Lonchura striata: one gene and its partner. The protein of the gene in region 1 interacts with the protein of each later gene in a biochemical or structural test. Links are inferred from orthologs where the notes say so. Each region holds a gene or a part of one and is shown in the gene's direction. Other genes may lie near its edges.

Region 1 (16,503 bases):
CTCATTGCTTCTGTTGTCTGTTGACATAAAATATGCATGTACACAATAGGCACAACATGGTTCAAGGACTGAACATGTGTTCATTCCTGCACATGTTTATAGAGTTCTTCTCTTGGAGTTATTTCACTAATTTCAATACAATAGAAGTCTCTTTTGATTTCTGCTGTACTAGTGAGATTCCTGCTTTCATCCTTTTATGACTGTCTTTGCCACTAAAAGAAAATTGTGTATGAATGTAAAAGCAGCAAAATGCTGGTGACACAGCCATTGGTTGCCCTGGGAGTACTTGCTGCATCCTTCAGTTTAATTTGCTTAATATATGTAATTAATTAGGCAACTGCAAAATGATAGAAATGTATTTGTGGATTCAGCCTCCGTAAATTAGTGGTAACCAATTTGATACTGCAGGACATTAGGGCTCTCTCTGTGGGACTAATGATGTCTAATGCCTCAGCAGTCATTTGTGGAGCTCATCATGTTTACCTATTAAAATGAAGTCATTACATTTTACTGTAGAAATCTTAGAATGCTTTTGGTACTACTTGCTGTGAATTTGGCTGAATCCAGGTGGGCAGGACCCTGTCCACTAAAATAAGTATTTTCCACAAAGGCAAAAAGAGGTCTCCTGAAGGGTGGAGATAATTTTAAATGCTTGGATTGAATAGCTGGAATGTGTCTACTTGTCTGCAGAGAGCTTTAGTGCAGCAGGTGCTGTGCCCACAATTTGCAGCTGGGCAGCTACACTTGCAACTGCCGAGCCTGCCTGCACAAATGATAAAAATCTTCCATACATAAAAAGCCATAGAAAAAAATATTGGAGGCTCAACTGAAAGAATTTTCAAAATTAAGCTCAAGACTAAGCCTTCCTAATTTCCTGTACAGAACTTTTATTGTTTTTATCCCCTCTGACTGTTTAGGGGAAAGAGATAATTTAGCTGAGGTCCAGGCACATGGTTATGAATGTCATCTGTACCCAAGAGATAAGTGACGTAACCTTAGTGCAAAGAAAAAAAAAATTGCAACTTCACTTGTTTGCAAAAGTGTTTTTTTCTCTTGAGGAAATTCTTGTGGTTTTTTGGCACTGTCAAGCAGCATAAGAAACTTTAGGAACTTAATCATAGAATCAGGAGGGTTGGAAAAAACCTTTAAAATCATTGAGTCCAGTCAGGATGTCAATTAGATGGGACTGATGGGATAAACCTTTCAGAGCTTAGTCTCAAGTGTCTCTGTCCCTTGTTTTAACTTTTTCCACCTACCAAATATATAACAAAATGGATTATTTGTTTATATTTGCAAGCGCTGGCCTAAATATACAGGAGATTTTCCAGTATATGAAACAAAATTCTTTCTCAATAGAGAACTGCAAGATGAACATAGTGGAATTATTAATAGAGTACAAAAAAGTTAAGATATTTTAACTGGTGTCCTATGTATATAGTATGTGAACAAAAGTGTTATTTTTCACAGGGTTGAAAGTGTCTATTTTTCTGCTGTGAAGTGTGAAAAGAGTTAGGATCAGCAAACACCTTGTTAGGTAGGATTTCATTTGGTGCTTATGTTGGAAATGAGATACAGCTTTTAAACCCTTTGTCAATTAATTCTTCACTGGATTTTAAGGTTGAGATGATGGTTTTCAGTCAGGGCATGATGTGTTGTGTGTGACACATCAGTTTATTAAGAAGTATCATAGTGTTTGAATGGCAGTGGCTATATAGAATTCTCTGTAATTATAAAACATAGGCCTGGGGAAAAGCCTAACACCACAAATGTTAGTGGCATAAACACCCATTCACAAAGAAAAGAGACTTTCAACTCATGCTTTTGGTTTCAATGGTTGCTTACAAACTCTAAGTATATGGAAATAAGTTTTAAAGTAAAATAAATATCAGTGTCTTCTTTCCTTAGCTGGGCTTGGAGACCTACAGGCTTTGAGATACTCATAAAAAAATAAAGCATGTGTGTATAGAGCAGCAAAGTATTTTGTGTGTATATTGTAGCTTGATTTCTTGGACTGATTTTTTTTTTTTTTTCCCATGGAAAAAAATAGAGCATTCAGGATGTTAGACGATCTTTGGCAACTTTAAGGGGATATAAGACATTTAACCAGATGATGTTAATTTAGAAGGACAACCAGCTTAATTGGTCACTGAGGCTCTCCCACTGGGGCCAGCATTTTCTATACTTGTCCATTCCCTTCACCTGAACTGCCAGGGCTCACACAACCAGTGATCTTGGGCTCTTTTTTCTTTGTCCAAGGTGGGGGACTTTTTTGCTATCCCTGATGTCCTTCACTGAGGTCAAACTCCTGCCAACAAGTGATCAAGGATCTCTAAACCTTGTGTGAGGCACTACTGATTGCACTGTACTCACAACATTTTATTAAGGAAGGCGTGTAGGATGCTTAATTTCCTTAAAAAGAGACCCCAAAGAACCCACAGGAGCAGCTCTTGCAGAAGATGAACATGTAAAGAAAAGACAAATTGAGTCTCTAGGCTCCACTGTCAACATGCTAGGAGAGTAAAAACCCCTTTGCTGTCTCTATGGGCCTGTCCAGCCTGTCAGTCAATATATGCTTTATTACACATTATCGATCCAAAGCACCACACCAGAGTGCCAGCACACTTTGTACTCTGGCATGGCACTGGGGCTGGCACTCTTTCAGGCTTTCCAGAACGTATCTTCTGTAAACTCTGTCTGCTGTGACCTGAGACTCTACCTTAAGTAGCCCTTCCCCAGAAGAGATCTGAGGCACTGTGAGCTCATCTTTAGCAGGGATGCTGCTGTGGCTGGATGAATACTTGAGGAGCTGAGTAGGCTGGGACTGGGGTTTTGGCAGCTACTTAAGGATTTGTGTGCCCACTATAGATGTCACTTTAGGGAACCAGATTAAAGGCAGTTGGCACATTTACTTTGTCCTAGCTCTTACATTTCCACAGGAAGAAAATAACCTTCCTCAGATTGTCAGTGACATACATGTGTGATGGTTTAAAAGCATGTCCTCAATGAAAGACACAATCTTTTCTGGCTTGTGCAATTTGAGGAGCAAACATGGGTGTTTACCCTGTGCCAAAATCTGCCCACATAAGCAGATCAGACTTTTTTTTTTTTTTTTTAATGTTGTTCTGGAAGGTCTGAGACTATTTTTTGCTTATTTTTATTGGTTTTTTTTAGCTTAGTAAAGCAAAGTTCACAGAAACCGGAGTGATGATCTGATTTCCAACTTTTCTTCCCGGTGTACTTAGTTAAAAATAACCGTGACAGTCTTGCCTTTGAGCAAAGATGCTGTAATTTCTAAATAAGCAATAAACTCCTTTGTCCATTAAAAAAAATAAGTAACCTCAAAACGATTAGTATAAAAGGTATGAAATCACTCAAGGCCTGTTTACATCCTGAGCCCTGAAAATTTACCATGCAACCATTTGGGGTTCTCCCTCTGGACATCCTCATGCAGAAACTATGCCACCTCCTGTACTCCTCACTGGTCAGGTGGAGTCTGGAGCAGAAATTTGGGATTAGACACATTCCCTGTGCAAATGCAGTGTTAAGGGTATCTTCCCCCTCGTGCTGTGTGTGTTTCAAACAGCACTGAAGGATTAGTCTGCTATAACATGTCAGGGCTGAATCATGATTTCAAGTCTCTTTGCTTTGCCAGAGGCAGTTTTTATTTGTATCTCGTTACAATTATGGCTCAGTATCCTATTTAGAAAAGAGATAATAATTCTCTCCCTGATAAGAGTCCTGTGGCTTTTCTTATGTTGTGTGTGTATTTCTGAAAAGCTCTTAGCAAAGTGGAAGTGTAACAGTGAGAACTGTATTGGTTTGGGTATGTGTTAATGACACGGTCAGCTCGGGCCAGTTTCTGAAAGGTTATGGGTTCTGCAGGGTTATTTCTGCCCATGGATATATGGCATAAACTGCCCTCTTTATCCCAATACCTCCCCACCTCTTTGAGGGGGTGTGAGAGATGGAGGAGGGTTAGATAACAGCTCAGCTTTCCTATATTCTGTGAACATTCTTTTGTGCTGAATATTCCAAACCTTTTGTTCCAAGTCTTGTTGGATATTGTTGAACCTCTGGACATAAACAGTAGTGAAATCTAAATCCATGAGGTAGCTTTTATAACACTGATGTTGAGTAAAACATCCCAAACTGGTTTTTGTGCTTATTTACACAGTAGAAAAGCTCAACAATCAGTATTGCCACAAGAAAAAGATATTTAGTTTAAGTTTCTCAATTTTTTTTCTGCTTGCTAAACACTGAGAAACTTAATTTCTAAAACATATAATTGGTAAAGTAAAATAGCTGAAATAAACAACACTTGTCTATTTGACTAGATTTCCTTTATCTAGCAGTGGTCGCTTCTTTACACCCTTTTATTTTGTCTATTACTGAGCTGAGTTACTTAATAGTTGAAGTAGGTTTCAGGACAACTGCATCTGAAATAAGTGGACCTCTTGACCATTTAAGGAGAAAATTTGCCATCTGTTGAAATCATGGTTGCCACATCCCCTAAGAGGGATTTCAAGCATGGAGACTTAGGAGGGGAGCTTATTTATACCTACTGAGGACAAACAGAATACATCCTATCTCATGGCTAATTGTCCTAAGTTTGTTTTTTGCCATGGAGGGTGTAGGATTTCTCTGCCCTTGTGGCAGACCTCAGTTTCATGGCCTGCAAAGAGCTTTAAATTCAATGAACTGTGAGTCATTGCATTTGGAAGAAGAAATAGAAGCAGCTCTGTGGTGATTCCATCAAGTACTAAAGGGAACCCAAAAGGACCACATGGGAAGTTACTTGCAGGATTTCTGCTCTTTGTAGACATCTTATCTCAAACTGCTCATAGCAAATGGAACACCCGATCTTTATTTTTTGATTTAATATTTATCCGATTCCTAAAGATCCAGAGTTGCAAATTTTCTTCAAAGTAATTTTGGCCCTAAGTTTTTACTGAAAAAAAAATTGATTTTTTTTTGCACTTCTGTGATAAATTGGTACCACTGCTCCACTTCTAGCAACCAGTTATCAGGTTGCACTCTGCAATCAGAAAATCTGTAATCAGATTCTTTTGAACTCTTCCAGAAGTTTTGTCACAGCACCTTTCTTTCACTATGTGATTTCTGCCTGCATAAACACAATTTAATGTTGAAGTTCATTTAGATTAGCTGTTGTAATGTTGCCTGATGAGCTGCCAGATAGACACGTGTAGATACTTCAGCCAAGATTTGATCTGCTGCTGCTAAATTCTCACTTGCCTGAGGTTTTCATAATCCTTAGGGCATTACCTCGGCTGCTAATTACTTCTCTCATCATGTACAAAATTGTGTTATTTCCCTTAAAGGTGATGCATCACCTTCATCCAGCTTAACTTGCAGACCTGCAAGTCTGTTTCCAGTGTTCCATTGAGCTTCTTGTTCTACTGGTTTCCTGTCAGCTTCTACTTTTCAATTACAACAGTTGGGAAGCACATGATTTCAGTACCTGTACTTTTAGATTTTGGAATGTAGTTAATTTTACCTATTGGGCATACCTGTCCCTGCTTCCTTTTTAGATGAATGCACACTGTCAGCAGTTGCATATTCATGCAATGATTGTGTCTAACTTGCAGAAACATTTTAAGATATCTATGTGCAAAATGTCATGGAGGTATACTTTGTACTGTGTTCTGTGCTGTGAACCAGGCCAAAGGGGAGGATATGGTTTAATCATTAGAAACCTTGGACTGAGAGGCATTACTTCAGGTTTCTATTCTTGGTTTTAATGCTGACTTAACATGTGACTTGTGTGAGTGATATAACCTTTACAGGCCCCTGTCTACCCACAGATAAAATTAGTGTTACAATCTCTACTTCTCAAGTTTTGTCATTAAAAAGAGTACACAGGTCTGTCTGTGCAAGCCCACTAAATAAAGAGTTCACCTCTGAGGATTCATTTTCATCCCTTTCTATCCTAATCCTTCACTGGCACAGCTTCTCCTTCCTGGGGCTCTGGCCCATACACCGAGTTAGAGATCTCTCATGACTTCATCTCAATAAGCCAAAGAAACTGTAAACCAGAAGAATGAGGGTTGTGAGCACAGGAGAAATCACATCTTTGGTGTATGGCTTATGAATAAACTAATCACTCTCACAAGCAATCCTGGCAGCTGTAAACCTCAGCTTCAGAGTCAAAGGGAATAATGACCTGCCTAATCCAGACACACCAAATTTTGGTAGTTGTGGATAATGAGAGGGACAAAAAAAACAGACCACCAATTAGTGGAGGGTTCTGTGCATAATTTTATGAAGCAGTTAGGTGCCACCATGCCATAAAAGATGTATTTGGGTTGGACAAAACTGTGACAACTGTGTTCCTCTATGGCTCATACAGGAACTGCGTTGAGTAAGTTTTATTTCTGCAGGATTTAAAAATATTGCATTTATGCAACTTGTAAGTGGTATAGATTTACATATGCATGAGTCAAAATCTTTTTTTCCCCTTGCTTGTGTGATTAGACCAGCTAGAGACAAAATGGACCTTGAAATGAATTGGCCCAACTATGCATCCATCTTACAGCTCTGCTCTATAAAATACCTGTCACAGGAGATATGAAAACTCTCTGGAAAATCCCACTCTTTAAGTACAATCTAGTGTTGACAGTGCTGATTTGGATCTGTACTGTTCTTCTCCTCAAGTTTCTAATTTTCAAAATAAAAAATAGAAAATAGAAGTTCCTGAAAGCTCGAGCCAAAAGAGCAAAAGAACAGTTTTGAATTTTAAGTGATACTCTTGGACTAAATTTAACAGTGAGGAGAAACTCAGCTTTGTTAGCTACACCTTCATGTATGAGGACTGTATCAATTAGCAGAAAATATTTCAATTGTTAAAGTATTATCAAAATAAAAAAAGGAAGAAGGAAGGAAATTAATTTTACTAGCCACTGCTACAGCAACAAATTTCCACAGAAGGGTGCTGAAAAGCTACATAGTCTTTCCTTGGATTTGTGTATCAGCTAAAATATTAACAATCCAAGAAGGAAATGTTAAGAAACTAATAAAACAATAAAGAATTAAAATAAAGTTTAATATATGAGTGAGTGTATCTGATGAAACAACTTACAGAAGGGATCAGAAGTTCTGTGTGCTAGCACAAAGCCTAACTCTAAGCTGGATACATGTTCTCTGAATGTTCCTGGAATAAATGATAATGCTGGTAGAAAGATAAGTGAGAGAGGCACAGAACCTTATGACATTATTTATTATAAGAAAGTGCCTGTTTTGCTGAGAGGGTAAATACCTATTAGAGACGAGGGGTGATCTTAGAACTCCTACTGACTCTACTTAAAGCAGAATTTTCCTCATCACCTTGATGTTTAGTCAGTGCAGGTAGCAGAAGACTACTCTCTCTTGTTTGACCATAGCTATGCTCGTATCCAACTTCATACCTGTAATGCTGAAGCAGTAACATTCCCTTTTTGTTTTCCAGACACTTCCAAAATTATTCTTCCAGCTCCTAGCCCTTTGATTTTTTAAATATTTCCTTTTAAAACATAGAAGTGTATTATTCCAGAGGAATCTCTGTGGATGCACTGTACTCAGAGACAAAATAGCATCTTTGTTCCAGTTGTGTTACCTTCTTGTAAAGACTGGGCTAGCTGCTTGTGGAGCACAGAGGACTCACATTTGGGGAGTTTTTCTATGGTAATGGAGATAGTTGGTACTTTTTAAAAACACAGCCCATAATTCATGGTACCATGAAAACATTAATGTTATCTTAAATGTGAAAACAATCATGTTATCTTAAATGTATGGCCTCATATGGCTTCCAAGAGAAATGTTTCCTAAAATACAATGTGTAATATAAACTTGGCTACATATGCAAAGGAAAACTAATTACAGGGAAACAAAAATATTGCCTCAAATCCAAGGAGCTTGAGACAGGAAAGTTTCTGTCATTCCTCTTGAGAAATTAGAGCCCATTCACATTTAAGCTCTTCTCAGAAGCTTGTTCTGAACTTCTTGGAAAGAATTCAGGAAAGTGGAACAAATAGCATTTATTGTGATTCTTCAGTCTTTTACAATGGACAATATTATTTAAAATTATTTAGAAGAAACATCATCATATTAACCCAGTAGAAGTGCATGCCTGTGTACAGTAATTGCCAATTGACAGTAGCTTTGCTAACCTTGATTGCTTTTTACGGATTTATGAGAAGCAGTCCCTGAACCCCTGAGGGGCCTGCAGACCACTGAGGGAATAAACTGCCCTGTTCTGTTCTGGGGTTTATACCATGGCACAGCAACAGGTTTAGGAAATACAGAACAACTAAGTCTCCAGTCAGTATTGAAAATTAACAGCCCTGGAAGTTCAGGGGTAAGGTGACAGGGGTGTGTCAGTAAGTTTATTATAATTATCAGTTACCGTGACGGGGTGTGTTGCATGGATCGTCATGGATGTTCCTAATTAAGCTGCTGATGTACAGAAAGCTATGCCAACAGGTATCTTTACAGATCTGGATGCCAAGGCAAGTGTAGGAAGAAAGTAGGGAATGCATGCCTTTCTGTATTTTCATGTAGTAGAAAACAAGGGAATCAAAGTCTTAGATTCAAAAATCTGAAGGTGCTTCAGGGTGTTCTGTGAATAAAATCACAACTGTCTGATTTTCACAGTGAAAGAATATCTCCAGGGGGGAGGATGTTTTTGTAGTAAAGCACAACTTTTTAGGATGTGCAGATTCAATGTAAGTACTGTTTCATTATTGGGTGGGTGGGTGAGACGGCAGAAGAAATGACTCGGTTTGCACGGATGAATAACGACCCAATTCCTCTGCTGAACTAAGGTGTGATTCTTTGGCAGACTGATGTTTCTGTGGAGGCTGCATTAATTTGTATTTGCATACTATGGGGATTACTTTACACAGATCGCCTTAATTCTGTGTCTGAGCTTATGCTGAATCTTCTCTGTGGTGTTTATTACCTCAGAATATATCTGCTCAGGAATTCTGCTCAAAAGGGGGAGTTCTTCACTCAGGGAGCACAGGTGTATGGCGTGAGGTAAAGCGATTTATGTGGAAAAATAAGGAAATCTGCATTCAAACACGCTTTTTAGGTAATGGGAAGTTTAGTATGTCATTTGGTGCCAATTTGAGATAATTTCCTCTCCTGCTAGAGAGATGTGAACTGAACCGCAGATTGTGTTGGCTCTTTCTAGTCTTTGAGAAGTATCAAAGTTAACGAGCCATAGGGATAACGCTGGGGGCTGAGAATAGGGAGCGTGCAGTTTTATTCTTGCCCCGGCAATTATGCGCTACGCATGTGGCCACAGCGTTTAACTCTTGGTACCCTCAGTTTCTCTGCTTGACAAATAGTGACTCACGCGTTCTGCACGGGGAGCCAGTGCATCGCTAGAATTCCTGCTTGCGAAATCGGTTTAAATCTTTTGGAGAGAAGAGTTAATGGTTGCAGGGTAAGGCCAGCAGTGCCGCGGGCGGGATGCGGGTGCAGACACGTATCATTTCCCAGCTGCCCAGCCGCGCGGCGTTGCCTCCCATCTGCGTTTCCCAGCCCGCTGGAACACGAGCGGGAGGCGGCGGGAGCCGGGCGGCCGCGCTCCCCCGGGGCTCCGGCGGCGAGGGGCGGCGGGAGCCCCGCGCGGTGCGGCCGGGCCCGCCAAGAGTTAACGGCGGCTCCCCCGGGGCCGCGCCGCCGCCTCCCCACCCCGGCGCTGCATTATTATTATTATTTCTCCCCCCTTCCCTCGCCTTCCAGTTTTGGCAGGGGATTAAAGCAGCTCCCCCCTGTGGCAGCAGTGACCCAGAAACGAGTTTGATTCACGGAGTCCTTCCTCCATAACAAGTACAAACGTCAGTCAGAGGGAATCTGTGTGTGTGTGTGAGAGTGTGTGTGTGTGTGGCGCAGCGAGCCGCGCTCCGTGCCCGCTGCCCGGCGCCGCGCCGAACTCATGCGGCGGCCCCGAGCCCTCCGCGCAGGGGGAGCCCGGCCGCGCCGCCCGCCCTCGTCGCCGCCGCGCCGCCGCCAGCAGGTAACCGTGCCCGCCGCAGCGCCAGCCGCGGAGCCGCCAGCACAGCCATATTTGATGGGGTTTTTTTGTCGCTCCGGAGGCGGCGGGAGAGCAGTTTCGTGCCGAAGGTCGCTGCCTAGTGGAAATAAGATAGTACGTCATTAACATGGCGCCAAGAGCCGCGCCGCTCGGTACGGGGCGAGGGGAGGCGGCCGAGTTGCGGCTCCGCTATCCCACAAGCAACTTGTGCGGGGCTGTGGCGGGCGGAGGCGGGAGGGGAGGCAGCGCTGCCGCCCGGCGCGACCTGCCGCTGCCGGCTCCCTTTTTGTTCCGCTGCGGGCGAGCGGGCAGCGCGCAGCTGCCCAGGTGCAGCGGCCAAGTGAGCCGCCGGTGTGCCGTGCCGTGCCGTGCCGGTCTGCGCCGTGCCGTGCCGTGCCGTGCCGTGCCGTGCCGTGCCCCCGGCCCTGCGCCCCAGGCGTCGCTGCAGGCTGCGCCGCGGGGGCAGCGCCTGGTATCGCCCGCCGCGGAAAGTAGGAAGCGTTGGAGCAACTTGGTAGCCAGATGGCAATGGCAGAGCGCAAGTCTTGCTCGGATACTGATGTGTAGGAAGGGGGTGGGGGAGAGTCATGGCCACTGTGTGTCACCGTGTTACCCAGATGCCCACGAGACCCGTCGCCTCTCGCCGCGGGCGGGGAGCGGTGTGCGTGGGAGAGGAGGTGTTCGGTATGCAGGAGCAGCTTTGTTTCCCTCCCTTTACCACCCCGCTTGCACTTCGATTTGGCTTGGGGCGGGGGGGGGGGGGGGGGCGTAAATGCTTGGAATGCATAAAAACTGCTCATCGGTGAAATTAAACAGAAGTTGCCTTTCGGAGCGGGAGAGCCGTAGCCGGTCTGCCTCCCGCTTGATGGGCGCCGGTGGGCGCTCTACTGGAGGCGCGGAGCGCCGAGCTGTCAGAGCTGGCTCTGTCCCCCCAGACGGGTGCGCGGTGTCTCCTGCTGGAGAACAACTTGCCCGAGCCCCGAAGTGCACGTGTTTGAGAGTGGGAAAAGGCGGGGAAATGCGTGCGGCCCCACCGGGGCGCGGGGCGGCATCGGGGCAGCGGCCGGCAGGTGCACGGCGACCCCGCCGCGCCGGCCCCCGCCCCGGCCGTGGGAGGTGGAGCGGCAACGGGCCGGGGGGCGCGCAGCGAACTTGGGCAGGACGTGGGGGGTCCGGCCCCCTCCCGCTGCTGCTGCCCGGCGCAGGCCGAGGGGCGAATCCGTGTGCTCGGGCCGGAGTTTGTGGGCGAGGGAGCGGAAAGGCGGCCGGCGGTGTTGGGGCGCGAACGGAACATCGCGGGGGGCGGCGGCGAACGCCCCAACTTGCTCGGGCGGCGGTCTGGGCAGCTCCGCGATTTGGCTCTTGCCCCCGTGCCTGGCGAGCGGGACGGAGCGGGGCTGCGGCACTGCTGTGTAACGGGCCGCTCTCCCTGGGGAGGTGAGTGCGGCTCCAGCCATCATTCCACTTGTTCCTCTTAGACAAAGCCACCCTGCCCAGCCCTGGGCACGCGTAGTCGCCAGCTCCCAGGAGAATTTTGGTGGTGTTTGTGTTTTTTTGTTTTTTTTTTTTTTGGGAGGGGGGCAGCCTGGAGGATGTTTGGTTGTTTTGGTTTTATTTGTAGAAATTTTTTTAATTTGCTTTTCCCTTCCCGTTCGCGCCCGCCCGTTCGTTCCCGATAGGATGAATTTGGGAAGGGTGGAGGCAAAGGGTGTTTGTTTGTTTGCACCGCCTGCTGGTTGGTTTCCTGTGACAAGAGGTGATAACACAGTTTCCAGAACTGTCTGGGAGTGGGAGGAGAGACGGACAGAGAAAATGAGCTCGTCTCCGAGCTGCCGCTCGATCCGCCGTCCCGTCCACCCCCTCGGTGGCAGCGTGGCCACGGGGGCGGGCGGGGAAGGTGCCGTGGCCGTTTTCGGCAGTGACAGCGCTTTGAGCGAGAGGCGGCGGAGCCGGGGGCACCAAGTTTGATTTGCAGCCGTGGCCGAGCGGATTGGTGCGACCGGCGGCGGGGAGGAGCGGGAGCCGGGAGGGAGGAGAAGGAGGGGGCCAGCCGGGCCGCTTCTCCTGGAAGGCGGCCGTGCAGCTGGCCGGGGAGGTGCCACCCCCGCGGGGGAGGTGTAGCCCGGCCAGGAGGCTGCTCCGTGACCGCAGCCGGCCGTGCCCTGGCGGCTCCGGGGTCGGCGCCGCTGCCGCGAACCCTGGGCGGGCGCGGTGCCGGGCCGGGGCCGAGATGGGATCGCTGCGGGAGGAGGAGGAGGAGAGCCGCCCTGAGCGGTGCCCGGCCGGGCTGGAGCCGGCTGTCGGCGTGAGTGCCGCGTTGGAAGCGACTCCCGAAGGCTCGGCTCCTCTCCTCCTGCGGGGAGTGGCCCCATCCCGCAGCCGTGGGCTCAGCGCACCTGCGAGCAGCGCCTGCCGCCGGCCAACTTCTCCTGCCGGCTCTCTCCGGCTGGTCCTCAGCTGCTCGCCTTATTCTGAGAAAGTTGATTAGGTTCACCGGCAGGTGAGAGTCGGGGCATCCTGAGATCTGTCACCTCCCTGCCCCTTCCCAGTAAAACAGGCCGTGGAAGTATTAGAAATTCCAGTAGGATTCAGCAGCACATCTTAGTTGATGTTTTTATGCCAGCCCCATTTTTTAGAGAAAGGTTTTAGCTGTTATTTTGAATAATTTCCTTTTTAAGCAGGTGCTGTCTTTTAACTAAGTCAGAAGCTGCCCACACTTGTAAACCTAAAACCTTCATTAAAGTTATGCCAAAATATGCTTGTTATGATTCTATTTCTAGATGTTTCTCACACTCAGTGGGATATTGTTGAAACAGCAAGAATTGTATGTTTTAGTGGCAGGATTTTCCCTCTGGCTTCAGATAGCACTTGCTCCCAGCTTTTGAGCTATGTTTAATACATATGTTTAAAATAAAATAATAATAATAAACTCCCCTTTCCTCTCACAGCTGCAGATTTCCCTTCCAGCTTCTCTGGTTTCATTCCCAATTCACAGAACCTAGTAAAAAAACCCTCAAACTTCCAGTGTTTCCTCAAATGATTTCTCCATGTGTTTAGTACTGCTGCTTCATGCTCCCATTTTCAACTGGAGATGGCCAAACTGGTACCATTTCCTAGGTGGAAGAGAGGAACTGCAGTGGGTGCAGGTTGAGTTGCAATAATTCTTGGAACGCAGTTCATGCATTGCTCGAGATTTTGGATGGTCCGTTTCACTCACTCCCACAGTTTGGGAATAATTTGCTGCCACTGTTCAGGTAGTAAGTTAATATTATGGGCTGGCTTGCACAGGTGCATAAATAAGCACGTGGATTCCTGAGAAGTGTTGGGTTGATATGGCCAAATTGTGCTTTTCTCTTATATTGATAAATTTTGGATAGGTGTGCTGAATTTGGTAGAAATATTCCCTGTGGAGAACACTGTTGGCCTTGTTTCATGACACTTGGAGGATTTTTTTCCTCCAGATTTAAGGTCTGTGACTCTTTGCACTGTGGATGGTGCTCCGTAATAGAATTTTAAGTAAATTTTAGTAATAGCTTATTTCTGATGTGCTTCCTTTTTTGTTTGTTTGTTTGTTTTAGGTCTAGGGTAGAAGCAAAAGAGCTTCTTGTGATGTCAGGTGTCAGTGAAGAAGGGGTGGTGTTATAAATAAGCTATTTAAAAAGAACCCAATAATAGAACCCAAATGTCTCCATCTTCTATTTTATTATACTGTGTCACACTTCGCTTCCATTTGTACAGTAGGTGTTCTGAAGCAATTTCTTGTGTACTAGAGATAATTAGGTCTTCGTTTCATTGCAGTTAGTGGGTTACTTTCAGGAAAAGCCAGTTTTTCAGTTTGTCTTCAGGGTGTACATCTGTCATAACTCTGCTTTCTTCCCATTCTGTCTCTGCAGCTGTTCAGTGCAGTTTGTTACAGTGACACCCGTTAACATGGTTACAGTTAATTGTCTGTCAGAGTTTGAATTATACACTCTTTTACCCAGGGGTTTATGCAGCCCTTGAAAATACTTCAGTAAGAATTGTGCTGTGGAAAACCTTTGACCTGAGGATGTAGATTTTCCCATGTATATTTTTTTTTACAATCTGGTTCTGTTTAGCTATATGCGTAACAAGGACTGACACACTTTACATCTTTCCCTTCGATTGCCTCTCTAGTTGAGGTCAAACTTAGTGAAGAACCATGTGGGGTTCTTAACTGTGTATGTGGCACATGGGGGTGTGTGTGTGCACGCTGTTGTCCCAGTTTCTTGGGGTAGTGTCTGGATTTCTGCCCTTTGTATTTTTTACACTCTTATCAGTGCAGCTCCTGGGACTTCAGCGTGGGAGAAAAAAGGAAAGGTCTTGACATCCATGTCCAGTGGGGTCTTTGGGTTTTGTTGGTAATTTATCTCTTGGAGAGGTAAGGATGGACTAGCATGGTAAAACGAACACTGCTAAAAATAATGATTTTGCTGTGCTGTGTCAAGTTGCTGAGTCTAACCCATTGCACTGCATCTGTCATCCAATACTTGGAAGTGGACAACAAAGTCTGTATGCCTGCCTGCATCTAGTTGTTTGTGTGGATTAAGATGTTTGTTGCTCAGCTCCACAAGGATATATAAATTCAAATGCTGTTGTGTGGCCTGACATTGATTATATTGGATTATTGTCTTGTCATTTCATTTGCACAGCATTTACAAGTGTTTTGAAAAAGGCTTCCCACGCTCTCCAAAACACAGGAGTCAGTTTCAGGTGGTGTAGTTTTGCCTTCAAAAACAATTTGAGCAAATGCACCATCGAAGTCCAGAGTTGCATTGTTATGTTTAAAGTTTGTATCTAATCATTGAGCAAAACCCGGAGCTTAAGCAAGCATGATTAAAAAGGATGGAAAAGCGACTGGTGATGTGTTTCTGGAAAACAGAGCAGCACCTTCAGCCTCTGGAAAAGCACAGTAGGGTGTGTTGTAAGCTGTGTTTGGCCTCACAGTGCTGCCCTGGTATGGCCAGCTCATCTGAGGGTGACTGAGGACTAAAAAGGCATCGTCTGTGTCCCATTGGTGCCATTTATCATGGTGGTTCAATGAAGTGCTCTTGGATGCTTTGCTTCCCATGGAATTGGAGTAACATTGCCAGCAGAATCGTGGCTGTTTCTTGGAAGCTGTGTTTGGCTGAAGGCTGGCATTAGCCTGAGCCCAGTTTGGTTCCTCCCCGATGAGTTGCTAAAGGTTATACTGGAGTGTTGGGAGAAAACATGATCAGCATGCTCTGTGTTGGTCTGACTGATTTCTGAATGGATGATTTTAACAAAATAAACCATTGTCTTTCGAAGAAATGAAACTGAAAGTTTATATATAAAAGTTGCTGAGTTACTAAGAATTTACAGGAGTCACTGGAAACTGATAGAAAGTGTGGCTTGGTGATGCAGCCTTTGTCAGCTTAGGGTTGTTAGACTCTGCAGCAGCTTTGGAAGTGCTGGGCTTTCTCTTCAGGTGGAGAGTGTGTTGGGCAAACACCCCTTGGGGGCTGGTGTAAGAATTTGGGAAAAACAGGTGTAGAAATGTTTGTTAGGAGATCCAGGGCTCAGCCACAAGCACTGCTTGGCTGGCTGTGTCCTTGCTTCAGAGCGCTGTTCGTTCTGCAAAGGGGTTTGGGAGCTCGTTCTGTGGCATGGGTGGGTGCAGTGGATTTTTGTGGGAACTTCTGGGCTGGACAGCAATTATGTGATTGCAGGTACTTAGGAATTGAGCTCAGTCATCTGGGTGTCTCTTCTTGCCCTGCAAGTGTTGCAGGCTGGGGTGCATAGCTTTTACTCCTGGTATTAAAGCTGGTCTGGAATGTTTTACTGTTTTTGTGCTTACATAGGAATTCTCTTTGCTTACAGCCACTTTGCTTACATACACTGTGATCACAGTGTATGCCTGCTGGAACAGGGCAAAAATTTGCAGTATCAGTCTGCATCTAACCCTCGCTATCCCTGACCCATGTTTGTTTTTAATGTGCACTTTTTAACATGTTTATTGTGTGACTTTGGGTCACCCACCACCTGGCAGAAACCAGTAGGATTTCAATGTGCATGGTTCTAAGTCTCACTAGCTATTCCAGTGTTGTCTCTAGAACATGTGTTCTGGTCTGTGGATATGAACATCTGGTGGCAGCTGTTTAAAATTATTTTAGAAGCTGAAAAAAGCAGTTCTTCTAGTGACAAAAGTTCCAGGGGGTTAATCTTATGAGGTTTGAGTCTTGCTCTAAGAAGCCAAATGCTGGTTTTTCATCTCTGATTTAGCTCCCTGTAAACTCAGGTTAGGTTAAAAAATGGGAAAATCAGATCTCTGAGTTTTAATTATTTTTTCCTCCGTATGGATCTATAAAACAATCTCCCAGGAGCTTCATCAAATGGGATATTTCTTTTAATGTTACTATTGAGAACACAGGCTTTTCAGTGTGGCCAACTTCAGATGCCTGACTAAAGTGGACAAGGAAATGAACTAT
Region 2 (15,765 bases), on another chromosome or scaffold:
GATTTCCACGGGAAGCTGATTAAACCCACGGCTCTGACAGGAGCTGCGTGCAGGAATTTTAACTAGCTGCTGCTTTTTAATATTCACTTCCTCTTCGCGTTTAATTATTTTGTTCCTGCGTTTTCCCTTTCAATTTACTAAAACTCCAGAAATGTAATTAGGGAGAGGCTGAGCTGCGGAGAGCTGCCAGCGTTTCTCCGCCGTGATTAAACGGAGCAGCCCTGCCTCCAGCGCGGGGCTGCAGGACAGGATTCCAACCATTATCCCCTTATCCAGGCAGGATCTGCGGCACGTCGGGATCGGAGTTATTGAAAATGCAGCACTAATTAAACTCCCCTATCAGGAGAGGATGAAAACGCAGTTATTTCATTATTTCCTGGATTTGCCTGCTCTGTTACGAACCCAAACAAACCCGCTGCAGAACAAAGCCCGCCTCAATCACGGGGGAGATTTAATGAGGCTTTAATTTGTGCAGCGCTCACGGAAGCGGTGCGAGGTGCTGCTGCCCTCCGCCCGTGCCAGGGGCACCTGTGGAGCCCATTTCCCATCTGGAGGGCACCGGGAGCGCGGTGCCACAGATTGCCACGGAGCCGCTGCCTTTGTGCTCGGCTTCGCTCATTGAATAACGCGGATCCCGCAGCCTGCCATGTGAAATGGTCATTTTTTGCTTACAGCCAATTAAGGATCCGTTCTCCCCCGCTGCTGCCGGGGTGTTTTCATCCCTCGCAGATCTCCTGCCCCTCTGGAGGTTTTTCTCCTGTCACAGCAGCCCCGGCTCTGTCACCTCAGCGTGCCCCAGGGGATGCTCGGGGGCTGGGGACGGGCAGAGCTGCTGGATCCTGCAACCCCCGAGCCGTGGAAGGCTGAGCATCCTCCCGGGAAGGGGAATGGGGAGCCTGGGGTTTTGTTTTGTATTTTTTTTTTTTTGTTTTTAATTTGTGTTTGAATTTGCAGCCCTCCTCCTCCGGGTGGGATTCACGGTGGAACAGCAAAAGCTGAGCCCTGCAGTGCCAGCTTCCCTTCCCCGTGAATTAACGGGGCAGGAGGGGAGGGGAAAAATCCCCACCTTCAGCAGCTCCTCCGGTGGAGAGTGGTTAAGCAGTTATTTTCCTGTGTAAATAAAATATCGGTGCCTCTTACAGAAATACATCAAATATTGATGTCTTTTATATTCGTGCAGAAAAGAGTGGGGGAATTGGTTCCTTCCAGATCCGAGGCAGAAATCCAGAGGGTTGCAGGATTTTCCTTCCCTGGGAGGGGCTGGGATGGAATTCCCAGAGCAGCTGTGGCTGCCCCTGGATCCTTGGGAATGTCCCAGGCCAGGCTGGGCAGGGGATGGAGCCACCTGGGATGGTGGGAGGGGTCCCTGGGTGGAACTGGATGAGCTTTGAGCTCCTTCCAACCCAAACCCACTCTGGAATTGTGTGATGGAGGCACGCAGATCCAGCACATCCCTAAATTCAGTGCAAGCCCACAGGGCCCAGCCCTTCCATGAGGGAATTCCTGCTGCTGTGCAGGGTCAGGCCCCTCTAAAGCACTCCCAGCTCCCTGCTCTGAACGTTTCCCACCCAAGTTTCCTCCCCTGACTCCCAAACACCTCCAGAAACCTTCCCTCAGTCCCTGCTGCTATGATTAAAAGCCGCTTTTGTTTGGGAGAAAACAAACACCGCTTAAAACAAACCCTGCCCTGGAGGTTTCAATCGCGGGGAATCTGCTGGGTTGCTATTTTTACCTGGATTGGAGAGGCATCAAAGCTGGTTTTGGAGCAGAGGAGGAACTCAGCCCTTAAATTGACAGCGGCGAGCGAGCAGCTCCCCCAGCCCTGAGCGGGCTCTGCTGCTCGTTAGCAGCGGCTCCTGATGAGGCTGCTCTTGTTTTCCAGGCTGCTTTTGATCCCGCACTCATTAAAACCTCATCCTGCTGCGGAATTGTTTCCCTCTCCCCAAAGCTCGGCACCTGCGGGTGGGGGGGCCCAGAGCGTTGTCCCCAAAGCCCCCCAAATCCATCCCGAGGCAGCTTTTCCCCTCGTCCTCGGGGAGCACAGCCCAGCTCCCTCCCAGCCCAAACCGTTCCTGGATTTTGTTTTCCCAGCCACGCTCACAGCAAAACAAATGAACAAATGAGGGGTGAATTGCCTTGGAATATTCAGGGTTTGGGGTATTTGGAGCAGAGTTTTCTGCTGGCCTCTGCTCCTGCCCCGGGGCTGCCTCCAGGTCCCTCCTGGGGGCTCCAAACAGGGATTTGTGAAGGCAAAATCCCAATATTTGATTCGATGTGGGGACAGTTAAACCAAACCTGCAGGGAAGCAAATCATTAAATCATCAAATCATTCAGCAGCCTGGGAACCGAACCTTGCTGTCCCCAAAACATCCTCGAGGTATTTCAAAAGAACACCAAGATCCCAAGGGAATGACAACAATTCCTTATCCACCTTTACTCTCCCTTCACTCATCACTGACAGGATTATCTCCATCCCTACAAAATACCCAAATTTCAGTCCCCTCCACCTCCCTCTCCAAACGTTTGGGTTTTTTTTTCCTGAGCCATCTGCTGCTGGAGCTGCAGGAGGAGCAGTGGGGATGAAAGGAGAGGGAGCGGAGCTGCCAAATTCCCGCGGTGGGTGCTGGGCTCAGCTCCTCAATCCCATCTCCCCTTCCCGGCCCGGTTCCGATCGCGGCGGGAGCCTCCCCTGGCGGAGCTTCCCGGGAGAATTCCAGCGGGAATTTTCTCCCAGCAGAATTCCAGCGGGAATTTTCTCCCAGGAGAATTCCAGTGGGAACGCTCTCCTGGGAGAATTTCAGCGGGAATTTTCTCCCGGGGGAATTCCAGCGGTAATTTTCTCCCAGCAGAATGCCAGTGGGAATTTTCTCCCGGGAGAATTCCAGAAGGAACGCTTTTCTCCTGGGAGAATTCCAGCGGGAACCTTCTCCCGGGAGAATTCCAGCGGGAACGCTGTCCAGGCGCGGTGCCGAGCCGGGAGGAGCAGGGCAGGATTTCAGCTCCAAGCCCGGCTCCAGGGGCTCTGCTGGTGGCCGGGAAGGATGAAACACAACGAAAATGGGGGAAAATCCTGGAGAAAAGCTGGATCTGCGGCTGGGTTTGGCTGGAGCAGGGACGGCACGGGAGCCGCTCGCTGTCGGCTCTCCCGGTGCTGGTTGGGAATGGTTAAAGCAGAGTTCCCCCTGCCGGTAACTGCGGCTGGAATTGGGATCCGGAGCCAACAAAATCCGGGAGGGAGGAAAGCTGGGATGGGTTCAGAGCCCTCAGCTCACCCGAGCCGTCAGCAGCCGCAAATTCCCCTCCGGCCCGGGGCCAGCGACCCTCGGGAATTCCCTGCGGGAATGTCCTGCCCAGAACATTCCAGAGCCCCAGAATTCCTGTTGGGAAAGAGCTCCTGACCCCAAAGCTGCACAGGCAGAGGGAGCTCCACTCCCAGGGCTGAGAAAACCCCAAAATCTCTGATTTACCTGGATTTGTGTCCCATGAACTGGAGAAGGTCTGGCCCAAGTTGGGGCTGAGCTGGAGCCGGTGAAGCCCAGAGAGCTGTGGAGACCCTGGGCACTGGGATTTGTCCCTTGGGAATTCTGAGCTGCCTCCTGGTGCACTTACACTGGGAATCACGGAATGGTTGGGGCTGGAAAGGACCTTAAATCCCATCCGGTCCCACCCTGGGACACCTCCCAGGATCCCGGGGCTGCATGGGGCTCCCTCGGTCACTTCCTGCCAGGAACCAACCCAACAGGCCTTGGCACCAGGAATTCAAATCCCTTTGCCCTTCCCTGGATGCTCTGGCAGCACTTTGTGCATCCCTGGCCCTTCCTTGGGGACAGCAGGAGTCTCCTGATGTTCCTCCCAATCCAAGCCCTGCCTCGGGTTGGGAAAAAGGAGCAGAGCCCAAAACCCACGGAACAGAATCCTCCCTCCCCCAAAGTGCCTCGGAGGCAGCAGAGGATGGAAATTCCTGGAATCCCACCCCGTTCCTCTGGGGTTATTCCGAGGGACAGCTGGACCCAGGCAGGAACATCCCAAAGACTCCTCAGGAGGGGTGAGGAACCCCAGGGAGCCGCTCTGGGAATTCCTGCTGGGGATCCCAGGGCATGGGAGAGGAGCCGCCCTGCGAGATCTGTGGGTTCCGCCCCAGAGCTGCCCCAAATTTGGGGAATTCTCATTTCCTGGGAGCCAGGACAGGGCTGGGGCAGTCCAGGACTTCCCTGCTGACACATCCCAGTGGGAGAAAATCCAAGGGCCTGCTCCGACCCTCTGGAAAACCCCACAACACGAAGGGGGTGCCTCCAACAAGGCTTTAATCCCGGGATCACCCCAAAGGACTGGGATCATTCCTCTCCCTCCCTGGACAGCACAGCTGGGTCCCCCCCAAATCAGCCAAATCCCCAAAAAAAGTCCTGGAGAAGCGGCCATTGTCTGGTTTTCTTTAATAAAGATAGGAAGGATTTGTGTTTTCCTGTTAAGGCAAGGATCTGCTGCTGCTGCTCAGCTCAGGGGGCAGCTCTGATTACACAAAAAAAGCAAAATTACACCTTAAACTAAAGGATTACATTTTAGAGACCATTTAGAATTAAAAAAAAACCAAACCAAACTCAACCCAAAAATAAATTCCACACGCTTTCCTTCTGATTCCCTGTCCTGAGTCCAGTTCCACACCAGATTCTGAGGTACAAGACAATAAATTAAAAGTTCATTCCAACCGCGGGGTCGCCTGATCCACCTCAATGCGATGTCTTCTTCACCCCCTTCCCAAATTTGGCATCGAGCCCAAGGCCTGGCAGGAGACAAAACATGCGGTTTGTGTTCTTCCAGCCAGTGGGAGATGGGAATTTTGGGAAAAATCAGCTGAATATCCCCAAATTCAGCCATGGAATGAGCTGGGGGGAAGGGACTGAATCGCTCTGCTGGTCCCACACGTCCTCGTCCCATTCCCACGGGTTTGAGGAGCTCCCAGGGCAGGATCCCGTGGGTTTTCCCCCAAAACTCACCCAGGAACACCAGCACGGTGCCCACCCACTGCATGGGGCTGATGGGGTTGGCGAAGAGCACCACGGAGGCCAGGATGGTGAAGAACTTGCGGGTGGTGGTGATGATGGAGCAGGTCAGGGGCCCGAAGTACACCACGGTCATGAAGATGAAACTCTGCCCCAGAAGCAGAACAGAGCCCCCGTCACTGGCACTGCCAGGCCGGGCAGCCAGGGGCAAATCCCAAAGGATCTCCCTTCAAATCCTGCTTCTTCCTGGCTTGGAGTGGGTTTGTGGCATCCTGGGATGGGCTGGAGGGGCCTTGGAGCTCATCCAGGGACGCCTTCCCCAATCCCACGGTGCTCCAACCTGGCCTGGGACACTGCCAGGGATGGGGCAGCCACAGATTCCCTGGGAATTCCCTGGGAATTGCCTCCCAGGGAAGGAAACCCCACCCAAAATCCCATCCCTGACCCCTGACCCCAGCGCAGGGCACCGACCTGGCCCAGGGCGCTGGTGAGGCCGAAGAGGAGGATGTTGGAGATGATGCTGGGATAACGCTCCGTGAAACTCAGGAACTCCCAGAGCTCCCCCGTGAACAGGATCCCTGGAAAACAGCCCGGGAGGAGCAGCCTGGCTGGGGATTCCTGCCCACGGGGGGCAGGTTGGGCTCAGAACCCCCAGAGCAGGGACAGAACCCCACAAACGCCAGCAGGAAACACCAGCAGCAGAAGCAAGCGCCCTGCTGGTTAATTAGTGAAAGGAAGATCATTAACGGGGATCAAATTCCAACAGAACAGTGCTAGCAATTAACCAATTAACCAGGAGCGCTGATCCTGGAATGGTTGGGCTGGAAGGGGCCTCAAAGCTGCTCCAGCACCAGGGCAGCTCCCAGCCCTGCTGGGCTGCTCTGAGCCCCGAGCTGGAGCAGGAGCTGCCGTGGGAGCTCCAGGAGAGCCCGGGCAGGGGCAGGGCCGGGCCATGAGCAGAGAAAAGCCCAAAAAGGCCCGAGGAAGCCGAGCCCGGAGCGCGGCGGGGCCCTGGCTCCTCACCTGCCCCCAGGAAGAGCGTGGACCAGAGGTTGACGTGCAGCATCATGTGGTTGGAGCCCGTCTGGTAGTGAGCACGCATGTGGTCCTGGGACACGCCCGTCAGCCCGTCCAGCGTCAGAGAGAGCAGCTGTGCATGGACAGACGGACGGACAGACAGATGGGGACAGACAGACACAGACGGGGGACAGATGGGGACAGACAAATTGGGCACAGCCAGCCAGCCAGATGGGGGACAGACAGAAAAGGCACAGACAGATGGGGGACAGATGGGGACAGGCAGACAGACGGGACAGACAGAGAGACAGATGGGGACAGACAGACAGAGCACATGGTCAGGCCCGGCTCCCCTCCCCAGGGCAAAAGGCAATTCTCGTTTTACAGCCGTTCCTGAGAGTTTATCACAGGGGTAAACCCCACCTGAGGGTTAATCCCAGGTGTAAATCCCCACCTGAAACCCTGGAATTTATCCCAGGTGTAAATCCCCACCTGAAACCCTGGAATTTATCCCAGGTGAGGGGTAAACCCCACCTGAATCCCAGGATTTCTCCCAGGGTAAGCCCCACCCGAGTCCCCCGAGGCCCAGCCCCGTGGGGTCCCTGCACTCACCAGGAGCAGCTCCCCGTAGCCAAAGACGTGCTCGGTGTCCCCTGTCCCTTTTTTGGGCTTGTAGAGGAACAGGGCCACCCCCGCCACGATGAGCAGCACGCACAGGTACTTGGCTGGGGGGTACCTCTTCCGCAGCAGGGTCACCCCCAGCAGCATCACTGGGAAATGAGAGGTCAAAAACTGCCCCAAAACCCACCCAGAGGAGTTAAACCCCAACAATGCCACCCCCAGCAGCATCACTGCAGAGAGAGAGCCCCTAAAATCCACTCATGGGAATTAAATCCCCATAAAGTCACCCCCAGCAGCATCACTGCGGAGAGAGAGCTCAAAAACTGCCCCAAATCCACCCAGAGGAGTTAAACCCCACAAAGTCAATCCCAAATGCTGCCTGGGCAGACTGAACATCCCACCCCGATCCCAAAGCCCTCTGTGGGATGGAAGCCAAGCCAGCCCCAGGGGGCTCCCACAGGAGGGGCTGTGGGGGGCCCAGAGCTCCACAGACCCCCCAAAAACGGGCAAATCTCTCACCTGGGATGGGTTTGCAGGACTTGCCCAGCACCTGGGAAGGGATATGGGTGTTAACAAGCCATACCCCAAAGGGAGAGAGAGAGCCCCAAAAAGATAGAGAATCCCAAAAAGAGAAAGAGCCCTCCTGTGTCCACCTGGGTGGCTTAGATGTCTCCCTGTGTCCCCGTGCCCACCTGGGTGGGGTGGCTGTCCCCCCTGTGTCCCCATGTCCCTGTGGGTGGGGTGGCTGTCTCCCTGTCCCCGTGCCCACCTGGGTGGGGTACCCGTGTCCCCGCTGTGTCTCCATCCCCCTGTGCCCACCTGGGTGGGGTACCTGTCCCCATGTCCCCCCGTGCCCACCCGGGTAGGGTTCCCGTCCCCCCGTGCCCACCTGGGTGGGGTACCTGTGTCCCCCCTGTGTCCCCATGTCCCTGTGGGTGGGGTTTCTGTCCCCCTGTCCCCGTGCCCACCTGGGTGGGGTCCCCGTCCCCACCTGGGTGGGGTACCTGTGCCCCCCCTGTGTCCCCGTCCCCCCGTGCCCACCTGGGTGGGGTACCTGTCCCCATCCCCCTGTGTCCCCCTGGGTGGGGTAGCTGTGTCCCCCTATGTCCCCCATGCCCCCATGCCCACCTGGGTGGGGTTTCTGTCCCCGTGTTCCCCTGGGTGGGGTACCTGTGTCCCCCCTGTCCCCATGTCCCTGTGGGTGGGGTTTCTGTCCCCCTGTCCCCGTGCCCACCCGGGTGGGGTCCCCGTGCCCACCTGGGTGGGGTAGCTGACGAACTGCAGCGCGGAGTTGCTGGACACCATGGCGCCCAGGTAGGACAGCGAGCAGGCCCCGTAGAGCCAGCCCCGCGTGCGGTCCGGCCGCGCCGCGTCCACCAGGCGGATCACTGCGGGGACAGCGGGGGACGGCTCGGAGCGGCCCGGGGACGGCCCGGAACTCCCGGGGCTCCGGGAATCCCGCACTTACGGAGCTTGGCGAAGGCGGCGTTGATCACGCACTGGATGAACACGAGCGTCAGCGCGAACCTGAACTTCTCCTGCTTCGCGCCCTCCCCGTAGCGGCCCCGGGTGCTGCGGGACGGATAACGGGGACACCGGTGACACCGGGACACGAGAGAGACAGGCACCGGGGACACCGGGCACAGAGCGGAACAGGCACCGGTGACATGGTGGGACCGGCACCGGTGACACCGGGACACGAGAGAGACCGGCACCGGTGGCACCCGGGACACCGGTGACAGAGCGGGACCGGCACCGGGGACACCGGCCACAGAATCGAGGGCACGGGAAGGAGCGGCGCGCCCCGCCCGGCTCCGGCTGCCCGGTTCTGCCCCGGTCCCTCCTCCCCAGAGCCCCCAGCCCCGGGTGAGCCCCGCGCCCCCCGCCGGTGTCCCCGCTCCCCGCGCCGTGGCTCACATGCTCTCCTGCAGGATGCCGTAGTAGAAGTAGCAGGCGAACACGCCGAGGAAGCAGACGGGCAGGCGGAGGCGCTCGGGCAGCCCCGGGGCCGCGCTCGCTCCCATGGCGGCGGCGGCGCCGCTCAGCGCGGGCGGCACCTCCAGCGCCACATCCCGCGGCGCCCCGGGCGGCCTCATCGGCCCCGCCGCGCCCGCCCCGCCCCGCGCCGCCCGCCGCGCTGCCCGGCCCGCCGCGGGGGGAAAGGCGGGCGAGGCGCGCTCGGGATGTCGCGGGGCGGGGCGGGAGCTGCACACGGAGATCGCCGAACCCTCCCCGGGGCTGCGCCCGCCGCGGTTCGGCCGCGATGGTACCGGGAGTGTGCGGGGTAGAACAGGCAGTGCTCGGGGCACCCCAGACTTAGGGGGGCTTCCCGATGCACGGCGCGCGCGGGAGCGACACCCGATGTGGAGCGCGGCGATTGGCTGGGCCGAGGGGGCGGGATAGAGAGACGGATTCTGATTGGTGGCTGCGGCAGTGGGGCTCCGCCTACTCTGTGCGACCCCCGAGCGGGGCTTTCCGGGGTCCTTCCGCCGGTCCGGGCCCGCTGGAGCCCGGCGGGGCGGGGGTGACGGGGCCCGGCCGGGACCGGCTCCTCCCCAAGGCCCCGTTCAGCCGCTGCCGCTGCTCCAAGCCGCGCTTCCGGGACGTTCCCGGGGAGCAGCGAGTCAGGAAAGCACTGTGGCCGGGAAGGGCCGAACCCCCGCCCTGGCGCTTTGTCCTTCACAGTTCCTCTCATCCCTCCGGGAATTCCAACACGGTTCGCAATGCCCGGGCTACACATCCCACCTCCAGGGCACTGCCCCCGCAGGCTGGGCGGAGGAGCTGCCGGTGCTGCAGCTCCCGAGGCTTCCTCCGCCTCAGCTCGGCGCTGCCCGCTCTCAACATGGCGGCCTCAGTAACGGGGGCTCCGCGCCCCGCGGACCCTGTGCCCTTATCAAAGATGGCAGCCGTAACCCCCGCCCAGCCCGCTGCCCCAGTCAAAGATGGTGACGCGCGGCTTCACTGCCGGCGGCGCCTGCCCGGCTCCAAGATGGCACGCGGTCACGTGACGGGGGTGTGGGCCGCGTCCCGGCGGAAGCGTGAGGGACCGAGCAGGGAACGGCGGCGGGAGCGGGGCTGGCGCCGCAGCAGCAGACGTGCCGCAGGGCGGGAGACACGGCTGCCACCACGGAGTCCGCCAACAGCAACACCGCGGCGGCCACCGCCGCTTCGCGGGCCGCGGGCGCTGGGGACCAGGCAACCTCGCTGCCCCCGCCCAGGATGCAGCGCAGGAAGGTGAGCGCGGCCGGGAAACGGGGGAGGCGGCCGGCGGGGAGACCGAGGAGCTCGGGCCGCTGCTTTTGACCCTTCCCCAGCCCCTCCGCTCCCTCTCCCGGCTCTAAAACTGGGGGGAAAGTAGCGGCCTTGAGCCCCCAGCGCCCGCCTCCCGAGCTCTCCGATTGGCTGCGGCGCTATCAGGCCGCGCGCTGATTGGCCGCGCTGCCTGTCACTCATCACCCCCAACGGCTACCGTCCCCCCTCCCCCGCGCGGCCATTGGGGCCCGCCCCTCGCCGTTTCCGATTGGGCACGCGCTCGGAGAGCTGGCCGTCTATTGGACAGGTCCCCGCACCGGGCTGGGCGCTGATTGGCTATTGCTGCTGTCCATCCCCGCCCAACGGTCACCTCCCCGCGCGAGCCTTGTTCCTCCCTTCCCCCATCGCGCCGCGGCCTGCCCCCACGGTTGGCGTTGCCGTGGGAGCAAGCCTCGCGCTGATTGGCCGCCGTTCGCTGTCAATCGCGCGCGGCGGCGGCCCGCCTTTTTGCTCCTCGAGCTGCCATTGGTAGGCCTCCCTTTCGGCCCCGCCCACGCGCGCTGTGATTGGCTGGGGCCGGCGCGGCTCCGCTGGGGGCAAAACAAAGCGGCGCGGGGGCCGCGCTCCCGCCACCGGCGCGAGGCGCCCCCCCCTCCCCTCATGGCGGCCGCGCCCCTCCCCGCTCCCCTCACGGCCGCCGCCATCGCCGCCCCCTCACCCTGCCGGCACCCCCGGCCTCCCCTCACCGCCGAGCCGCTCAACCGCGCCGGGGAATAAGGCACGAGCCTGGAAAAGGGGGAACAAAATTAAAGATTTTAGCTTGGGGCGGTTTAATAATGAGAAATAAGTGAAACACTGTTGTGGTGTTAAATAACCGTGATAACAGAAAGGGAAGGGAATAAAAATTGCGATTGCTGACCGGTGCCAGTCACCCTTCCGATATCCAGATTGCTCCCCTCGCTTTGGGATAATTCTGATAATTCCTCCAGTTTATATCCTGGGAATGACAGCCTGAGGTGGGAATTTGGCCATGAGGGATCACCTGTCCCGCTTTGTTTTTGGAAATTCCTCACTGCCAGAGCAGGAGACACAAAAAGAATCCCTGACTTGGCATAAACCTCCTGGGTCACCCTTGCAGCTGCAGAGGCTGTGAGGAGGTGCAGAACACGAAATCCCCGCTCAGTGTTGTGTTTTTAGCAGTAGCAGGGCAGCGTTTCAGGGCAGTGTGTGCCGTTGCAGAGGAACGCGGGCAGCAGCTCGGATGGCACCGAGGACTCGGATTTCTCCACGGACCCCGAGCACACGGACAGCTCCGAGAGCGACGGCACCTCCCGCAGATCCGCCCGCGTCACCCGCTCCTCGGCACGGCTCAGCCAGAGCTCCCAGGGTGAGGGAGGGCTCCTGCTCAAACCGGGAGAGGCTCTTCCTCGAACTGGGAAAACTCTTCCTCAAACTGGGAAAACTCTTCCTCAAACTGGGGAAAGGCTCTTCCTCAAACTGGGGCAAAGCTCGTCCTTAAACTAGTGCAAGACCTTTGTCAAACTGGGGCAAGCCTTTCCTCAAACCGGGAAAGGCTCTTCCTCAAACCGGGAAAGGCTCTTCCTCAAACTGGGGAAAGGCTTTCCTTAAACCAGGGCAAAGCTCTTCTTTAAACCGGGGGAAGGCTCTTCCTCAAACTGGGGAAAGGCTCTTCCTCAAACCAGGAAAGGCTTTTCCTTAAACTGTGGAAAGCCTTTTCTCAAAGTGGGGCAAGGCTCTTCCTTAAATTGGGGAAAGCTTTTCCTTAAACTGGGGCTAGGTTCCTCCTCAAACGAGGGAAAAGCCTTTCCTTAAACTGGGCTAAGCTCCTCTTCAAACCCAGGAAAGGCTCCTCCTCAAACCAGGGAAAAACCTTTCCTTAAACCAGGGAAAATCTCCTCAAATGGGAGAAAAGTTCCTCCAGCCAGGAAAAGGCTCCTCTTTAAACTAGGGATTCCTCTTTAAACTAGGGAAAAGCCTTTCCACAAACCAGGGCAAGGCTCCTCCTCAGACTGGGGAAAAGCTCCTCCTTAAATTGGGGAAAAGATCCTCAAACTGGGGAAAATTTCCTCCTGTAACTGGAGCAAGGCTCTTCCAGGCCCACACACAAATCCCAGGTGCAGCTCCACACCACAGGCAGTCCTGCTGTTCCCGATATCTAAACCCTGATGGTTCTTATCGAAACAAAGAGATCTTTGCTTCTCCAAATTGAAGCTGGGTGCTAATTGCAGGTCAATTAAGTTGTTAAACCTGGAGCAAGCTGCTGTCACTCCAGTTTCCTCCGAGAGTCCTGACATTTTATCAGGCAAGGCCAGAGCATGGTGACATGGGCAGGACGGAGCCACAGGGTGTCAATCAGTGGGGGACATGGGGGTTCTTATGGGTGCTGTGGTGTGACTGTGGTATCCCCTCAGTGTTGTGGTGTCTGTGTGGTTCTTGTGGTGTCCCCATGGTGTGACTGGTGTCCCCACGGTGTCCCCGCGGTGTCCCCTGGTGTAACGGCCCCGTTTCCCCGGGAGCAGACTCCAGCCCGGTGCGGAACCCGCCGGCGTTCGGGCCGGACGAGCCAGTGTACTCCACGCGGAGGGTGACCCGCAGCCAGCAGCAGCCAGCTCCTGTCACCCCCAAGAAGTACCCGCTGCGACAGACCCGCTCCTCCGGCTCCGAGACCGAGCAGGCCGTGGACTTCTCGGACAGAGGTACCCCCGGGGGCAGGGAATGCTGCATTGGTACCCACAGGGGAAGGGAACACTGCATTGATACCCAGAGGGGCAGGGAACCCTGCATTGGTGCCCAGAGGGGCAGGGAACACTGCATTGGTACCCAGAGGGGCAGGGAACCCTGCATTGGTACCCAGAGGGGCAGGGAACCCTGCATTGATACCCAGAGGGGCAAGGAACGCTGCATTGGTGCCCAGAGGGGCAGGGAACACTGCATTGGTACCCAGAGGGGCAGGGAACCCTGCATTGGTACCCAGAGGGGCAGGGAACCCTGCATTGATACCCAGAGGGGCAAGGAACGCTGCATTGGTGCCCAGAGGGGCAGGGAACGCATGGGTACCCACAAGGACACGGAATGCTGCTCCCGGGGTGGGACAGGCTCTGTGCAGCCCCTGGGGCATTTTCAGGAGCATTTTTGGGAGCCCAGTCCCCTCAGCCGCATCCCCTCAGCCCCATCCCCTCAGCCCAAATCCCCTCAGCCCCATCCCCTCAGCCCCAATCCCCTCAGCCCCAATCCCCTCAGCCCCGTCCCCTCAGCCCCGTCCCCTCATCCCCTCAGCCCCGTCCCCTCATCCCCTCAGCCCCAATCCCCTCAGCCCCAATCCCCTCAGCCCCAATCCCCTCAGCCCCAATCCCCTCAGCCCCGTCCCCTCATGCCCTCAGCCCCAATCCCCTCAGCCCCGTCCCCTCATCCCCTCAGCCCCAATCCCCTCAGCCCCAATCCTCTCAGCCCCAATCCCCTCAGCCCCAATCCCTTCAGCCCCGTCCCCTCTGCCCTCCCCAGACACCAAGAACGCAGCGGATCACGACGAGTCGCCGCCCCGCACCCCCACGGGGAACGCGCCCTCCTCGGAGTCCGACATCGACATCTCCAGCCCCAACGTGTCCCACGACGAGAGCCTGGCCAAGGACATGTCCATGAAGGACTCGGGCAGCGACCTCTCCCACCGGCCCAAGCGCCGCCGCTTCCACGAGAGCTACAACTTCAACATGAAGTGTCCCACCCCTGGCTGCAACTCCCTGGGTAACCCCCTTGGCAGTCCTGCTGCGGGCTGCCTGCTTGGCTGGGTGCAAATCCTAAAAATAGCAGGGGATCAGGTCAGGAATGGCAAGGAGTGGGTTTATAGAAAGGATATGAAGCGTAAATACAGGGAGATGTTTTCTGTTTGGGGGGTGACAGGATGAGGAAGCAGACAGGAGGGCGAGCACAGGTGTGGGAGGAAAAGTCACAGATTTGTGGAACTGGTTTTTGCCAGAAACAGGATTTCAGTGCCAAACTATTGCACTCCCATCCCTGGCTGCTTTGGCTTAGTGTGAGAAAAATTTTCCTTCCTTTTTAAACCAGGAAGTTTCCTCCTCCTATCCCCCTGTCGGTGATCCTGTGAGGGAGAATTCCTCCTCCTCTTTGGGATCATTTGTCACAAGTTCTGTTGCTTTTCTGACCCCTTGCAGGACACCTGACTGGGAAGCACGAGCGCCACTTCTCCATCTCGGGCTGCCCTCTCTACCACAACCTGTCAGCAGATGAGTGCAAGGTAAACGTGGATGGTTTTGCCTTCTGATTTCTCCTCCTTTGGGATTTTTAGGGTAAAATGCTGAGCCTTGTGTTCTGTGAGCAGCAAACAGTTTACAGCGTGCTGCTGCGTTTGTGTGTCTCCCCTGGAAGGGCAGGGGTGACAGGAGGCGGCTGCAGCCCTGACAGGTGAATTTTGGCCTCCAGGTGCGAGCGCAGAGCCGGGACAAGCAGATTGAGGAGCGGATGTTGGCCCACAGGCAGGATGACAACAACAGGCACGCCACCAGGCACCAGGTGAGGGGACAGCCTCAGCTCCCAGCTCCCAGCACAGCGCTTTGGGCCTGGGCTCCCTTCTCCACATCCTGAGGAGCTGCCATTCCAGAGGGGGAATTCCCTCAGTGAGGTTGGAGCAGGCAGGGAGAGCACAGCTGTGTTCAGGATGATCCTTCCCCTGTGCCTGGCTGTGCAGGAGCAGGGAATTCCTGCAGAGCTGTAAGCTGCAATTTCCCTCTGAGTAACCAGCAGAGAGCCAAACCAGGGGAATGACATTTCCCAGTCCCTGAGTCAGCTGGGAGCTGTTCCCCAGCACGGAGCATTCCGTGGGGAGCTCACCCTGTCCTGTGGTGGGAAGGAAATTTCCTGCTTTGCATTCCTGTGCTGCAGCTGCAGTGCCCTGTGATTAGCAGAGGATCTGGCTCAGACCTCGTGGAATGGCAGCCAGGATGGAATTCTGTGGGATGGGCAGGGAAGGGGGAAGTTTAGAGGGGCTGCAGCCTCTCAGGGTCCCACCTGGGGGTTCTTCCAGGCCCCCACAGAGAGGCAGCTGCGGTACAAGGAGAAGGTGGCTGAGCTCAGGAAGAAGAGGAACTCGGGGCTCAGCAAGGAGCAGAAGGAGAAATACATGGTAAAAGCAGGAATTCCATCCTTTCATCCCTCCCCGGGATGGAGTTTGTCTCTCCCAGTCATCCTGCAGCATTCCCAGCTAGAAAAGCTGCAGGATCCAACAGCTCAGCAGCCAAAACGCTGTCCTTTGGTGTTCCAGGAGCACAGGCAAACCTATGGCAACACCAGGGAGCCTCTCCTGGAGAACCTGACCAGCGAGTACGACCTGGAGCTGTTCCGCAGGGCTCAGGCCCGCGCCTCCGAGGACCTGGTGAGATCCCTGCCCCAGGCATGGCCCTGGGGGCTCTGTGGGGAGCTGGGCAGCAGCTCCAGGCCAGCACAGCCAGCCCGGGCTGGGGGCGAGTGCTGGAGCTGAGCTCTGCACTCAGGAATGCGTGGTGACATTCCAGGGGTGCTCCCAGGGGACAGGGACAGCTTCAGCGTCCCTGCTGAGGCCTGGTGACAACAAAAGCCACCTCGGCCTTGGCCCGTGACTGAGTTCACAGGCTGGTGTTGCTGAAGCTCCTGAGGAGCCTCCCAAAGCCACATCCCATTCCAGAGAGGGATCAAACGATGCTTTGATGCTTTTCTGGGCCGGTTGGGTTCCTGGGGCAGGGCCTTGGGCTGTGTCACGGAGCCACAGGATGGACTGGGCTGGAAAAGCCCTCTGAGGTCATCGAGTGCCACCCGTGACCTGACACCACCTTGTCACCAGGTGCCACATCCAGGCTCTTCTAAG

What was found.
Region 2: the proteins of JADE1 (region 1) and KAT7 form a complex in vitro, tested with the Homo sapiens proteins (2 studies listed by BioGRID). The link is inferred for Lonchura striata from reciprocal best matches to the Homo sapiens genes JADE1 and KAT7.

The regions. Positions count from the first base shown.
Region 1 is NC_134606.1:67,396,743-67,413,245, reverse strand, and holds the start of JADE1 (protein Jade-1), read left to right. Parts: upstream 1-10,130; 5' UTR 10,131-10,150; intron 10,151-10,691; exon of another isoform or gene 10,692-10,720; intron 10,721-16,503.
Region 2 is NC_134627.1:7,849,586-7,865,350, reverse strand, and holds the start of KAT7 (histone acetyltransferase KAT7), read left to right. Parts: upstream 1-9,654; 5' UTR 9,655-9,857; coding exon 9,858-9,872; intron 9,873-11,129; coding exon 11,130-11,277; intron 11,278-12,430; coding exon 12,431-12,607; intron 12,608-13,412; coding exon 13,413-13,652; intron 13,653-14,080; coding exon 14,081-14,163; intron 14,164-14,348; coding exon 14,349-14,438; intron 14,439-14,949; coding exon 14,950-15,048; intron 15,049-15,186; coding exon 15,187-15,297; intron 15,298-15,765. Other genes in the region: SLC35B1 (solute carrier family 35 member B1), read right to left, coding at 4,728-4,780, 4,995-5,148, 5,472-5,578, 6,024-6,150, 6,630-6,787, 7,158-7,188, 7,896-8,026, 8,107-8,210 and 1 more. UniProt on the Homo sapiens protein: Catalytic subunit of histone acetyltransferase HBO1 complexes, which specifically mediate acetylation of histone H3 at 'Lys-14' (H3K14ac), thereby regulating various processes, such as gene transcription, protein ubiquitination, immune regulation, stem cell pluripotent and self-renewal maintenance and embryonic development.